Linked DNA regions of Drosophila melanogaster. The protein of the gene in region 3 interacts with the protein of the main gene of each other region in a pairwise test. Each region holds a gene or a part of one and is shown on either strand. Other genes may lie near its edges.

Region 1 (4,497 bases), 7.3 Mb from region 3:
ATTGTCGATGGAATGCTCACTAGTCCCCAACGAAAGTGAAAATTAATTAAAATACTGAACGGTTTGGGTTTCTCGCCCGTTCTTTCCTCTATGAAAGTGCCAGTCCGCATATTTTTGGTTTTCCTTATTTCCATGGTGAAGCCAGCTGAGCTGAGAGCGCGGAATCCAAATATTTGCCAAATAATTAATCATGCCACTTTGCGGCCCAAAATCTCTGACAGATCAGCGCGAAACGCCTTCGTCAGTACCAGTCCCCCCACGCCAAGCCAGCCTGCCTGCAAGCCACTGATAAAGACGCGCGGGATGCTTAGCGCCCATGTCTCGTTGACTGATGGCCGCACCAGGCCCACGATTCGTTTTGAATATCTCGCAAAACGTGGTGCAGGTGGGAGCCGGGCCACTGCTTTTGCACTGAGAGTTTAGTGCGCCGATTGGTCATCACTTCTAAATTAGCCTAATCAATTTTCACCCACGCAGCTGTTCCTGCCGCATATCCACTCCCAAAACGGACTGCTGCTCATAAATCAGTTTATTTTCGCCAGTCAGCGAGCCTTTGAAGGCGTAAGAGTTTCGCGGGTGGGCATGTACAAGAACTCGCTGTCCGTCCAGAAATCCACCAGTGAACGCTGTTGCGGCCGGGCGTCCAGGTGCGCGAAGCACGTGGCGAAGAGCTGGCCCTGCCTGACGTGACGCATATGCCCGGCCGCCACCTCCGACATGAATTTGTCCACCGAGGAATCCTGACCACGGCTCCCACGCTCCGGCACCGCTCGTAGGCGCAGCGTGTGCGTCTCGGTGGTGTTCACGTCGACGAGCACGGTGGAGGTGGCCTGCCGGTTGTAGACACTACGGTTTGGCACGTTGTCCACAAAAACGTCGAAGTGGTCTACGCTGTCAAGGTCATGGGTGATCCAATGCAACGACAGCGAGCCTCCGCTCAGCCTGCACGCTCCACAGATGCTCACCGGGTAACTGAGACGCGCTGATGGAGGACGTCGTTTTCCATGCAGATCGGACTGAGCCTGTCGGCGCACTTCTGACGCTACGCATAGGTCCATGAAGAAGTTCTTGGCCAGTAGCTTCGCCTCTAGCCGCTTCTGTCCCTCGGGAGATTTGAAAAAGTCGGACCTCTTGACCGCCCGACGCATGTCCTGGCAATGGTGGCAATTGCAATCCTTTTGGTATGTCTCGCACTTGGAGGAGGCATCCTCGACACCGGCACTACTTTCTTCAGGCTGACTGTTCCCCGCCTCCTCAGGGCTGACCAGAGCGAAGGCGTACTCTACATTGTCGGGGGTGTCCTCGCTCTTTTGAAGGGGGCTCTCTAAGGCGTTTGCCCGAGAACCTCGACTTCGGCTTCTGGGTGAACTCCGGCGGTAGCTCTTTCTTGATAGGTTTGATCGGGCGGTGGTTTCTTTCCTGGACTTGGGCGCTTTAGCCAAGTCCGCTCTTGAATTAGAGGTGGCCGAGATTTTGGCAGTTACGTTGGGTAATGGACTTTGCTTCCGCCTCAGGCTCGATTTGCTCGATCGCCGTGATCCCTCAGAAGAGTTAGGCCCAGATGAACTAACCATTGCAAATATGGGTTCCATTGCAGGTGCTGACTGCTTATTTCGAGGTGACATCTTGGGCGACTTTCTGGGTGAACTAGAGCGCGAGGTCTTAAGTTTCTGGCGAAAAGATTTGCTGCTAAAGCGATTTCTGGAAGTAGGACGTCCTTGTGTGTCCGCTATCTTCTCCTGATCGGTAGAAATCTTCGAGGGACTGTTGTCGAATCCGCTTCCCAAAGGATTCTCCGACGAGCTCGCCAAATTGCATGTCACACTGTTCAATGCGGTGTTTGCGGAAGTGTCTGTTCGGTAGTCAGCCTCCTCAGTGAGACCCACTGGCGTGTAGCCAGTCAAAGGGGTGATGTCAGAGAGGAGGTTGGAAAGGTCGTAGTTCGTGTTATTGAATGAGCAGTTGGAGAAATGTGAGGTGGGCGTTATCTGGGAGGTGCTGGGCACAGTAGTGCGGGTGGGCGAGTCCGTCAGAAGCGTATCATTGGACTTGCTCATATAGGGATTTTCCTCATCTACCGCCTGGGAGCAGGAGGATGTCAACGAACGCTTGGAATTTGGCACAGAACCGCTGCGTTTGATGAACTTGTGAAAGAGATGTTTTACAGATGTGAAGGACTCTCCTGCCCTGACAAGGCCCACTGTGTTCTTAAGGAACATCCTGATCGAGGTGGAGGTCGAATCGAAGTTAACTGTATCACGAGAGTTTGAGGATCCACCTTGAAGCAAGGCACTGCTGTCCAGGGCTGCCGTATCTTCGGTTACTGACAACCTCGCCGCGGAGTGCTCCTTATTTCGTTGGTTAAGGGAACTGTTGCTGGTCGTGCTGGTGTTGTTCCGCTGACCCGAGGTAAGCGAGCTTTGGCTGCTCTCCGGGTTGACAACCACGAACACTGGCGGTGCGGGTTGCGTCCGAGCGCTTGATCCACTTTTAATGGAACTTTTGAGTGTGCGGCTGGGCATCGGGTTCCTCCTGCTGCCTGACGGAGCCGCAGGTATTTCGTCGGGCAACATGATGCTCACCCTCTTGGACATACTTATAATTTACGGAAGAGAGATTTGTGGTATCTTCTACGATTGCGAAATAAGTGTATCTATCGAAATATTAAGTGTGTAGGCTTTTCCCAAACTGCCAACTGACGCCAAGGCAACTTTACCTACCCTGTTGTCACCAGGAGTGTGCCCCTTTTATACAATGCAAAAGCGGGGCTCGCATTCAATCATCTTTAATGACGACTAATGGCTGGACCCGCGGGCGAGGTCAGGATGTCCATCCATGACTTGACTTTGTCGCCGGAAGTTGGTAGCCGAGAGACTGGCCCGCGATTGCGCATAATTTTGTCAATGTTCGGAGCATTCGGTGGGCGGGGCAAATTTGCATAACTCGCGGACCTTTCAGCTCGCATTAAATATGGCCAAGGCTAGCGTACGGGGTCCTCAAGGCCCCCTAGTTATATTTGACTCTAATTAGAGCTGCAGGGGAAATAATGAGTTGGCGTTGAGCGTTGGGTCGTGCCGTCGTGATAGGCCGTGAATTTAACAGAGTTTGAGGTGCACCTTTAAGCTCGCTTTTCTTTGAGGCTTATTATTCGGCTTGGCTGCTCATAAAAGAAGCAAATGATTAACCGACACGCCGCATTGCACATACGCCTCGTCGCCAGAGCTACAACCAGGGCACGCAAGTGTATTAAATTATTTTTGCTTTATGATTTATCTAACACGAAATACAACGGAACGCCATACCCTGTCTCTCTGGGCTACGTTTCGTTTCCAAAATCAAAAGCTCTTGCACAAGTCAAAAAAAGGAGAATCGCATTTTTTTCTCACCTTTATTTGTATATTGAGTCACTGTGCTGTAGAAGCAGTAATACATCGCTGGTGATAACATATAATATCTGGCTTTGCCTTTTGCTAAGCGGTTGCTCGCAACGGGGCATCCAAGACATCCCCTGCTCGGAACTGACTGCGGGTGGCAAATGCTTATTTCACCCGTGTCCCGACATTTGAAATTGCTTAACGGCTGGTTTTTATCTAGCACATACCAAATTCAGCTCGTACAACAACGCTAAATCATGAAAAAATGTTATTCCTAGGCCAAATGGCTGCCTCAGATGCGTTTTACAGTCACATCGCCGAATTTTAATACAAATAAAAAAAACTCTAATGGAATAAACGAAGGTCAAATAAAAAATATTGTGTATAATTGATTGAGGTCAATTGACGACATTAAGGCGCGTGTCTGGTCAGTCAAGTTTAATCATTTCTCTTGTTGATGGCTGTTGCCTGCCCAGTGATCCCATGGGATGGCCTCTTAAATGAAATGGCTTGTCTACGGCTAGGACTAAGCGGAAAATTTAACTTTTCCGCTTTCGCTCGTGAAAAACCTATCCAAAAGTTTGATACAGGAAAGAAAAAGTTTCCTGATTTAGAAAAAAGACTGACATATTCTTTGTTGTTGCCAGCAGCTATTTGACGTTTTCGGACTCTTTTTTTAGTTGACTCGCGAAGTGCATTTATAGTGGACAAGATGAATAAGTCAAGAAAAGAGCAGATTTTACCTTTAAGCCAAAACAGTTGATCTTTCAAAACCTAACCCTTTTAAATATGTTAAGTTGAGCGGGTGATAAAATTAAAAGGTTAAGACCCCAACGATTAAATGTGCTTAACCATGTGTTACAATTTTTCTACTCCAATTCTCCCCAAGACATGTGTTAAGACTTTTGAGCCTGGGCAAGAGTTCTATTTGCCGAAAATTACCCATGCCTCGGCAAAAGAGATTGGCATCGGCAAGGCCACGGATAAAACGCAATACACAACCTGAAAAGAAGATGGCGCCGATAAGTCGAAGCTTAGATACCCTTGCAATAAACACAAATATGTGTATTTAAAGCAAGAGAGAACGCTGTAGTCGACTTCCTCGACTATCAGATATCCGTTA
Region 2 (4,502 bases), on a different chromosome or scaffold from region 3:
ATTAGGTCGTTAGTAGGCCGCTCCGCTCGCCGCCTTACGTCACTGTAGTCAATTGTATACAAACAGTGAATGTACAGGCAAGTCTCCCTAAATCGAACCGCACTTCCCAATTCAATATGTCCAACACGATGTTTGAATTAATTAATATTCCCGTAATGTGCAAAGTTCCATGGGCTTAACTCCTTAGCAAAAACTTCATTGTATCGTACCATATGTGTATTAACAGATCCGCTGCTGCTCCGGCGCTTCTACCAGTGCATGTTTGGAGACGTGGAGGAGACTCGGAAGCTCATCGAGGTGAACTACGCCCTGCGCAACCGGCACCCTCACCTGTTTATCAAGAGGGATCCTCTAGACGCGGACAGCAAGCGCACCTTTGACTACGCGTAAGTGTGTCCTTATTGGGAGAAAAGATTCCCTTTCCTTTGAGGCAGGGCCATGTTCCAAAAACATACATACCCGTATACCCCAACACTCGAATTTCAGAGACATTCTACCGCTGCCTGGCCTAACGCCGGACAAATGCAAGGTGTCGCTGTACTGCTTTCGGGAGTTCGAGGCCTCCAAGGTGAGTAATAGCTTCTCTTTGCTGTAGGAACTTGCGCTCCATACCGCCGATTGCTATCCCCAGATGCACCACACGGAGGACACGCGCGCCTTCTTTATGGTCAGCGACTGCCGGTTCGTGACGCCGGACGATCTCGCCAAACCGGATGTCCTGTCCGAAGGAGAGGTGCAGATATTCGACATGAAGGGCACCACAATGCGGCACATTTCGCGGCTGACGATCAGCACGCTGCGCGCCTACATCAAGTTCCTCCAGCTGGCATTTCCGGTGCGCCTGCGCGCCATTCACATGATTAACTGTCCAACTTACCTGGATCGGATCGTCAGCGTGGTGAAGCCGTTCATCAGCGACGAGGTCTTCAAGCTGGTGGGTTTCTTGAGAAGCCATTATGTCTCTAATAGCTTCATCTCACCATTACTTTCTACACTTTAGATCCGTTTCCACACGCAAAGCATAAATACGCTGTACGAGTTCGTGCCGCGGGAGATGCTGCCGGAGGAGTACGGCGGAGGAGCCGGGTCCTTAGAAGCACTGCGGACCCATACCCAAAAGGCCTTGGTTGAGCATCGGTGGGTTTCGATCTGCATGTTATAGTTATTCAGTAACGCCTCGTTGCCTTTTGTAGCGACTATCTGATGGACCCCGATCACTGGGTGGTGGTGAAGCCGGAGAAGCGGAACGAGAGTTCGTGGAGATTTTTCAAATGATTACCTAGAACATCTTCCACGGTAGCAAGGAGTCTCCTTCAACTGAAGACGGTTAAAAGTGTTTCAAGTGTATTGGGATAAACAGTTCCTGTGGCTTTTCATCTCTTAAATATCCATTTTTTTTTTAAATTTGTGTTGAAATTGCTCAAAAATAAATAAGTAAAAAATGCGTTATCCGTTTTATTTTTAACCCAACAATGTACAATTATTATACTAGTATATATTTATGGAAATACAACAAAAAAAGGGATTTAATTGAAACACACATTCAAAAGTAGAATGCGCAAAAGGCCAGTGGAGACAAAAAGCGATTATCGATAGCGAACTATCGAAATATGCCTATCGTTATCGCACGACGTTGTTAGTGGCATTATTTATTTTGTTGCGATTTAGCGTTTTTCCAACATAACATTGCTAAGTGAGGGACCCCGAATCGCACAGCATGGAGCGGCCACAGAAGATGCCCAAGGTGGCCAAGGTATGTGCCATCGTCGGCAATCCACCAAACCAACTTATCCAATCCAAAATTTCACCAGGTCAAAAACAAAGCGCCGGCGGAGGTGCAAATTACGGCGGAGCAGTTGCTCCGTGAGGCCAAGGAGCGAGATCTGGAGATTCTGCCGCCGCCGCCAAAGCAGAAGATCTCCGATCCCGCCGAGTTGGCAGACTATCAGCAGCGGAAGCGAAAGACCTTCGAGGACAATCTCCGCAAGAACCGCATGGTAGTCAGCCATTGGATCAAATATGCTCAGTGGGAGGAGCAGCAGCAGGAGATCCAGCGGGCGCGCTCTATCTGGGAGCGGGCGTTGGACAATGAGCACCGGAACGTGACCCTCTGGCTGAAATACGCCGAGATGGAGATGAAGAACAAGCAGGTGAATCATGCTCGCAATCTGTGGGATCGGGCAGTGACCATCATGCCGCGAGTCAACCAGTTCTGGTACAAGTACACCTACATGGAGGAGATGCTGGAGAATGTGGCAGGGGCGCGACAGGTGTTCGAGCGCTGGATGGAGTGGCAACCGGAGGAGCAGGCCTGGCAGACCTACGTCAACTTCGAGCTGCGCTACAAGGAGATCGACCGGGCACGGGAGATCTACGAGCGATTTGTCTATGTGCACCCGGACGTGAAGAACTGGATAAAGTTCGCCCGCTTTGAGGAGTCTCATGGGTTTATCCACGGCTCTCGGCGGGTATTTGAGCGCGCTGTGGAGTTCTTTGGTGACGACTACATCGAGGAGCGCCTGTTCATCGCCTTTGCACGTTTCGAGGAGGGTCAAAAGGAGCACGACAGGGCGCGCATCATCTACAAGTACGCTTTAGATCACCTACCTAAAGATCGCACACAGGAGCTGTTCAAGGCCTATACGAAACACGAGAAAAAGTACGGCGACAGAGCGGGTATTGAGGATGTGATTGTTTCCAAGCGCAAGTACCAGTACGAGCAGGAGGTGGCCGCCAATCCCACCAACTACGATGCCTGGTTCGACTATTTGCGCTTGATTGAGGCTGAGGGCGATCGGGATCAGATCCGTGAGACGTACGAACGGGCCATTTCCAACGTGCCGCCTGCCAATGAAAAGAACTTCTGGCGACGCTACATTTACCTTTGGATCAATTATGCTTTGTACGAGGAGCTTGAAGCGGAGGACGCGGAACGCACGCGGCAGATCTACAAGACCTGTCTGGAGCTAATACCTCACAAGCAGTTCACCTTCAGCAAGCTTTGGCTGCTGTACGCCCAATTCGAGATCCGCTGCAAGGAGCTGCAGCGAGCACGCAAAGCTCTGGGCTTGGCCATCGGCATGTGTCCCAGAGATAAGCTCTTCAGAGGCTATATTGATCTGGAGATTCAGTTGCGTGAGTTCGAGCGCTGCCGCATGCTGTACGAGAAGTTCCTGGAGTTTGGACCGGAGAATTGTGTCACTTGGATGAAGTTTGCCGAGCTGGAGAATCTGTTGGGCGACACGGACCGGGCGAGAGCCATTTTCGAGCTGGCGGTGCAGCAGCCGCGCCTGGACATGCCAGAGCTGCTGTGGAAGGCGTACATCGACTTCGAGGTAGCCCTAGGCGAAACAGAGCTAGCCAGACAGCTTTACGAGCGACTCCTTGAGCGGACGCAGCATGTGAAAGTGTGGATGTCGTTTGCCAAGTTCGAGATGGGCCTCAGCCACGGCGACAGCGGGCCAGATGCGGAGCTGAACGTGCAGCTGGCAAGGAGAATCTATGAGCGAGCCAACGAGATGTTGCGTCAGCTGGGAGACAAGGAGTCGCGTGTTCTGTTGCTAGAGGCATGGCGCGACTTTGAACGCGACGCCTCCGATTCGCAGGAGATGCAAAAGGTAATGGACAAGATGCCGCGGCGCATCAAGAAGCGGCAAAAGATCGTCTCGGACAATGGCGTCGAGGAAGGTTGGGAGGAGGTATTCGACTACATCTTTCCCGAGGACGAAATGGCTCGACCCAATCTCAAGTTGCTGGCTGCAGCTAAGATGTGGAAGACACAAAAAGACAACACGGTGGACGACCCGCCCGCTACAGCTATTGCATCTGAGCCAGAACCTGCAGCTGATGCTGCCCCAGCGGATACGACGGATAGCGGTGACTGATTCACTTCCGCCTAAAAATCGTTGCTTTTGAACAAAGCTAAATATCTGAAATTGCAGATTTTTCGCTTTATTTTTGGATACCTTAGTAATAAACCACTTAAATAAAAAACTATAATGATCTTTTTTTTTGTTATATTATCTGATATATTTTTCTGCTATTGTGCTTTAAAATTTTTCTCCCCAAAAAGAGATTATAAAGTTCTTACTTGGCCCTCAGCAAGAGTGTGAAAACAGAGTATGTGAACCTCATGACCTGGAATCAAGTGAATCATATCATATTTGAATCAAATCAAAGGACATTTGAATATATAATTGTGCCTTGCCTGCTCGAAGGTCTCCAGCGAGAGTGCGATGTAGTTGCCTGCGTAGATAAGAGAAGGCCGCTGCGTCCTGGCCAGGGTGAAGAGCAGTTCGCGCTTGAACTTGGGCAGCTGTTCTATCCAGTTGCAATCGTAGAAGGCATCGCACAGCGCCTCGCTCTGTGTCCGCATCCTGTCCCCAAAATAGCAGATTACAAACACCTCCAAGGTGACGGCCGAGAAAAATACAATCGAGATGATCATGGCGGTGTGGTCGTGGTCATCCGCTACGTACAGGAAGTGCATGGCGACGGTACAC
Region 3 (6,417 bases):
TCGAAGGAATTTATTCGGTCACAAGTTATATATAAAATGAAAAAAGAAAAATAAGCAGATTTGTAAGAGCAAGAACTAGATTAACAAATATTAGGATTTCCAAATGCAGTCTTACAAGCTTTATAAATCAGTAAGTAATATCCACTGATCTGGTATAAAAATACATAAAATGTCCTAAATTAAATGAGAATATCCTTACTGAAGAACCAATAACATTGTAAGCACAGTTCCATTTTAATTGCAACAATTTTGAAATATAGGATCTGTTACTCGGAAAATTCCTTGAGAGCCTGCCTGATCTTCGGCCAATCGGCGGCTGTGTAGTTAAGCGTTTTCATTTATGAAAATGTCTGAAACATGTTTCGCTTGCGCAAACAGAATGCGAGTGCGAGTATGCAATAAAATTCCATTACAGCAATGGCTCGACTTAAAAACTTGGCCGAAAAAAAAAGGAGGCAAGATGAAATTTCGTTGCATGAGCGAGAAGTCGTGGCAGGAGCATCGGGGGGAGCAGTGGGTGGAGCAGCAAGGGGATAAGGAACACGACCAGGAGAAGGAGCATCCTGCAAGTGTATTAAAAGCCCGCAGACATTTTCTCTCTACGTGAGTGCATCGCATGAGCTTGGCCCTGTTTGTTGGTGTGCAATGTGTGTGTGTGTGTGTGTGCAAAAGTCCTTGCATATTTTATGAAACTTGGCAAAGCATTTAACAACACAGGCACACCCACAGACAGAGGCAAACTCATTACTTGAATTTATTTAGCACTTAAACCAAATGTTTCATTCGCCTCAGCCGGCTGATTTGGTGGTGCTCATATCCGTGCATATCCGGAGTTTAGTTACCACTTTGGTGGCTTCAAAAGTACTCAGCACTCCTTGTCGCCCCTGCTAAGGATCAAAACTTCTGGTATTCTTAAGGATCCCGCGTGGGCAGCAAAATGCCGGGCACTCGGGAGCAGTAGGTACGGTGCCCTTAATCCGCTTTAGAAGCTTGGTCTTCCGCTCATTCATGGGTAACTGTGAGCAAAGATGCCCCTTTTTATGGACATAGCCACAGCGTGTGCAAAGGTCCTCGAGCGTGTTGATTAGCAGCTTGTTCTTGGCACAGGCTTCTATGGATCCGCTGGACAAGATCTCGCAGCTGGACGAGGACGACATGGAGAACGGGGTAGTGGGCGCGGGCACAGGCACCTTTACTCCACACCGAGGACACTTGTCCAGGATCATCGAATCACCAATTTTCTCAACTTGGCCTTCGCATGCCAAACACTCTGCGGAACAGGAGATCTTCTGCAGGCGACAAGTTTTTCGGGGTGAGTAGTAAAGTTCCTCGATGGGCCTAAGATCTTTGCTCCTCTTCCTTGCCGTAAAAGTGGTGGAACGGAATTTAGGACGCCTAAATTGTGCAGAGGTATACAATTCTTCGACTTTTCCCTTCATCTTCTTGTGGACCAACTGCTCCACTCGCGATTTGCGATCCAAAGCCTGAAAGAAAGAATAAAAATGTATTTCGAAGATGTTATTTTATAACTTTTTGGCGGTTGAGTATAGTTAACCCACCTGAAACATCAGCTGGTGCTGGTTCATCATGCTCCTAATGTTGTGTAGCGAGTAGCGCCACTCGATGTCCCGCACATCCTGCTCCTCGTTGGCCGCCAGATCCAAGCTGTTGTTGAAGCTTATAGTTGATCCAAAGGTGCTGCTAAAGCGTCTTCTCTTACGCTCCTCGCGCTCCAATCGTTCTGCATTGAGCTCCTGCTCGAGGAGTTTATTGTACATTCCGCCGTTCATCTTGATTTCCTGCGACTGGCGTGAGCTGTGAGATGGGTCAATTTTGCTCGTCCTTATTCCCCGCATGCCGAAGGGAATGAGCCGTGTGCTGACCCGCTTCCTAGACCACCAGTTTCGCTCCATAAACTTTTCCACCTCTTTCTTCTGTTTGGCTTTCATAGATTCGGTTTCCAAAACGTTAAGCATATTGTCCCGCGGCGGTTCCATTCGTGCATAGTTCTTCTCGGTCACTATTTCGTTAAGATACTCCAAGTACTTTTTGGCCAGACTTTCCTTAATTTGCGTTAACGTAACTCCTGCATCTGTGAGTTCGTTGTAGAGACTCTGAAGATGGGACCACATTTCATGGTTAGCTACTTCCTGCATAAGTCCATTAACATCGGCAATATACTCGATAACTTCGTTTCTTTGTATGACGTCCTTAAGGAGGAACTGCAAGTGTTTGAATTTGGCATCTGAGCGTAGATCTTTCAAATGAAACCGTTCGAATTCGAACTCTTTGACGTAGGGCTTTGGGGCATTTTCTGTTTTGTCGTGGCGATCTCGCACCGGTGCAAGGAGTTTTTCAAGATCATCTGGCAGCGCATCATATTTAAATTTATTTTTGGATGTCGATTTCGAAGATAGATGACCAAAAACTTGGCTTTGGGATTTAGTCGGATAAATACCAACTTGGGTATCGGAAGCCCTTCGTGGAAGATGCCTGTTCGATTGGTTCCCTCTGTGCAGAGCTGATTCGCTGGCTGTAATCCTAGATACACCCATATGCTCGCTGTTTGTAGGAAGGTACATGATATCCTTCTTCAAAGACTGATAGTGACTTTCCTCTTGACCTCTTGGAGGAGCAACGCGGATCTTCTTGGGTATGATGGGTGGCATGCGAATAGATTTACGGGTAAATTTTCGGTTTCGATTGCCCATAACTAATTTATTCAGTGATTCAGTGAGGGACGCAACGCTATCCCTTTTGAATAACACATGAGAACCACTCCTCTCGGCAGATAATTCGGGTCGGTCTTTGATTACGTAAACGCTGCTCGTACTGGAAAGCTTTTTGTGCTTATCCGACTTAGTGGCCACTTTTTCGGATCCGATGAAAACCTCTTTGGACGCAATCGAACTACTCGAACTAGAAGCTTGAAGTTTGTCACGTAGTTTTTTCCTATTTCTTCTCTCAATATCACGCCTCATATATAGGGGTATATCATTATATAATCTTTCGAGTACATTTTCTTGCTTTTCCAAGTCTCTTTTTTCCTTTTCCTGTTGAAAAGTTTCAGCTTCTTTAGTTTTTCCATGACGATTGCCCCTTTTCTTTGCCTTTGTCTCTAAAAGTGCATTTAATTCGTCTTTAATTACCCTATCCACATAGTGCATTTTACGCTTTCGAAGTTTAGGTCTTGTTACCTTGAATTTAATGATTTTCGGATCTGGAACATTTCTGGGAGCTCGTCCGCTTTTCACAATTCTTTTTATTCGTACTTTTGGGTTTAAAGTTGTAATATCGGAGATTTTGTCAAAATCAAATTTGGGGTTTCTTATGGCTTTTCTGTTAATTTTCGGGTTTTTAATAACTATCTTTTTCCAGTTGAAGCTGATTAGTTCCCTTATCAACATTTTCAGTTCCTCTAAAGATGGTTTTAATGGATCATGTTTCTTTGGCTTTCGAATGTCCTTCCGAATTCTTTTCAATTTTTTCCGAATAACAAGTTCATCTAAGCTGATATATAATTTTTTTCTTTTCCACAATTTCTTCTTTGATTTCCTAGTTTTATCATGTGCTGTATCTACTGGCACGTTTCTTCCTCTCATGGCCCTTTGTTTATTGATCATAGCGTTTGTTTGCAACACTTCAGTTTTCCAAAATTTAGCAAAGTCCTCGATTTCGAAATCCTTTTTAACCCTGCCACGGCTTAGCTTTCGTGGTCGCCTTCCCCGAACCTCCGATAAATAGTTTCGAACCTCCAGTGCCTCTGCCTCCCAGATCTTGTCCTGATCCTTGACGTGTTCGTAGTAATCCGGTTTCTTTTGCCACTTCCTAACTGCCTTGAACAGTCGATGGAAGCACTTGTCGACCAAGTTCTTTGGATTGCGGACTTTCTTCAACTGCCTCCTCAAGTGTCGAAGTTTGCGACGCATTCCCACTTTTACATGCTCCTGGTGCCGAATTAGCTGACTTTGTAACCTTAAAGCTTTTGACCAGCTGCGCAGCCAATGCTTGTACATGGAAAGCATACCGCCCACCGCCCTCCGTGTCTGCTCCCTCTTCTTCTGCTCCGCATCCCGCTGCCGGTGATCTATGGAGTTCCTCATCCTGTCGAGCAGATGGTCACGGATCCTTCTCATCACCTGAAGGCGGCGGTGGGCGTGACGCTTTCGCAGACGCAACTCCTTCGCCTTCCGCCGGATCTGCTTCTTCAGCAGCACCATCTGGGTGCTCCGGTGGAGCAGGGGCACTTGCATCGCGTACTAATCGAATTTGATCCCTTATCCTCTGAATTGTGTATACAAAGAATACCAATTAACTAGATTTTTAAACAGTCTTAAATGTCATGAAATGTCATAAAAAATTTAAAAGCTAACTCTATTAAAATTTGAACTTACTCATTGGCAAATATGTTATTATAAATTGAATTCAAATTGATTTTATTTTAAAATTCTTGTTTTATTATATATAAATTCATAAATATATTTAATTAAAATTGTCTTCAAAATAAACCCTTAAAGAGTTTGCAAATCACCGGCAAGTAGTTTCAAGGGGATGCACAATCTCTTATCAGACGGTGTGAACCACCTGGTCATTCGGGGATCCCAGTGCGAAACATTGCTCAGCTTACAGATAAGGCATCACAAATCTTCCATCTATAAATTGGTATTCATTGTCGGTTTCGATGGGAAGCCCCACTCAGAGATAGATTGCTATATAATTCACGGTGACCAGATCCCAGCATCGTCAGTCAACAGTCAGCCGCTTAGTCAAGTAGATCGAAAATCAAGAGATTAATACAGCAAGATGAGCAAAATTGTTCTCCTAATTGTGGTCATCGTTGGCGTACTTGGCTCCCTTGCGGTGGCCTTGCCCCAACGTCCGTATACCCAGCCACTGATCTCCACCACCGACGCCACCCAGAATCTACAGGGCACGTCGCCAGGTGTTGGGTGGATCACTCACATCCAATCCGAGTGGCGGTGCCGATGCCCGATTGGACCTAAGCAAGGCCGTTGGAACTCCCGATCACCATGTTATTGGACAAGTGTTCGCAGCGGGCAACACGCAGACCAAACCGGTATCCACTCCCGTAACCAGCGGCGCCACCCTGGGCTACAACAAGTGAGTCTCTTAAAGGATTACGATCTGAGCAATAGCGAAACTAATCTTATTTTTCATGAGCAGTCATGGACACGGCCTGGAACTGACCAAAACCCATACGCCCGGTGTGCGGGATAGCTTCCAGCAAACGGCCACCGCCAATTTGTTCAACAACGGTGTTCACAATCTGGATGCCAAGGCATTTGCCTCGCAGAATCAGCTTGCCAATGGCTTCAAGTTCGATAGAAATGAAGCTGCACTGGACTACTCCCACATCAAAGGTCATGGAGCTACCCTGACGCACGCCAATATTCCCGGATTGGGTAAGCAATTGGAGCTGGGTGGGCGTGCCAATCTTTGGCAGTCGCAGGATCGCAACACAAGGCTAGATCTGGGCAGCACGGCATCCAAGTGGACAAGTGGACCCTTCAAGGGCCAGACCGATCTGGGTGCCAATCTGGGACTCTCGCACTACTTTGGATAAAACTATATTCTTAAAAATATTTTACAATAACTAAGTGTTATTCAAAATATTTATTGACATAAATTCAAACGAATTTTGTTGCTTATTTCAAATGTGTTAAAAATATATGACTTAACTCAAACAAAGGGAATTTTTAATTGAAAAAAACAACTAATGAATTGAAACAAAAATCTAAAACGTTGATTAAAGCGGTCTAAAGACCCACAAATGCCTTGGCCTGCTGCTCGCCCGCCTCCTTATAAAGCTCCGCCGTCTTTAGCAGTTTTATAAAACGCGGTGAGTACTCGGTGGTTAGACTCTTTTCCAGGACCTCGTCCAGGCTGGTCTGTTTGAGCACCTCCTGCAAACGGGCGTTACGTTGATTGCGCTCTGCGGATTCGGCCATCTTCTGGAGATAAACCAGATCCAGGAGCAATTCATCACGCACTCCAACCGCCGCCTGTTGATCCTCCATCGGTAGATCCTCGTACTGTCGCAGTAACTTCTTGACAATTCTCGACTTTTGGCTGATCTTACTCGGATCGAGCAATCGCACATCCTGACTGAAATCCTCGGCAAGGATTTGAAGTGTGCTCTGTCGCTTCTCACGACACTTTTGTTGCTCGTTGGATGTCTTGAGAATTAGGTCATAGAAGTCCTGGAGATCCGGACGCAAAGGAATGCATGCTCTTCGTCGCACCTGCTCATCAATTATGCTGCTAATCGCCTCCATTGTGTCCCGCAACATGGTCTCCGTGTGATGTAGATAACTCTCGGTCTTGTCATTGCGGATTTGATAGAAGTTTTTGGACTGCTTCTGTTCACACTTGCGATTCCTCTCCAGAACCGCCAGT

The links. The genes of interacting proteins can lie anywhere in the genome.
Region 1: the proteins of CG43691 (region 3) and CG7856 interact in a two-hybrid assay, tested with the Drosophila melanogaster proteins (one large-scale study listed by BioGRID).
Region 2: the proteins of CG43691 (region 3) and crn interact in a two-hybrid assay, tested with the Drosophila melanogaster proteins (one large-scale study listed by BioGRID).

Annotation. Positions count from the first base shown.
Region 1 is NT_033778.4:6,056,842-6,061,338, forward strand, and holds CG7856 (uncharacterized protein), read right to left. Parts: upstream 2,718-4,497; 5' UTR 2,595-2,717; coding exon 543-2,594; 3' UTR 516-542; downstream 1-515.
Region 2 is NC_004354.4:2,247,079-2,251,580, reverse strand, and holds crn (crooked neck), read left to right. Parts: upstream 1-1,597; 5' UTR 1,598-1,717; coding exon 1,718-1,753; intron 1,754-1,811; coding exon 1,812-3,884; 3' UTR 3,885-3,987; downstream 3,988-4,502. Other genes in the region: CG3191 (uncharacterized protein), read left to right, coding at 227-386, 487-568, 632-934, 1,001-1,137, 1,194-1,275; Or2a (odorant receptor 2a), read right to left, coding at 4,087-4,137, 4,208-4,502. UniProt on the Drosophila melanogaster protein: May be involved in pre-mRNA splicing process. Involved in embryonic neurogenesis and cell rearrangement during Malpighian tubule morphogenesis.
Region 3 is NT_033778.4:13,388,966-13,395,382, forward strand, and holds CG43691 (uncharacterized protein), read right to left. Parts: upstream 4,397-6,417; 5' UTR 4,254-4,396; coding exon 1,560-4,253; intron 1,485-1,559; coding exon 888-1,484; 3' UTR 530-887; downstream 1-529. Other genes in the region: CG4744 (uncharacterized protein), read right to left, coding at 5,778-6,417.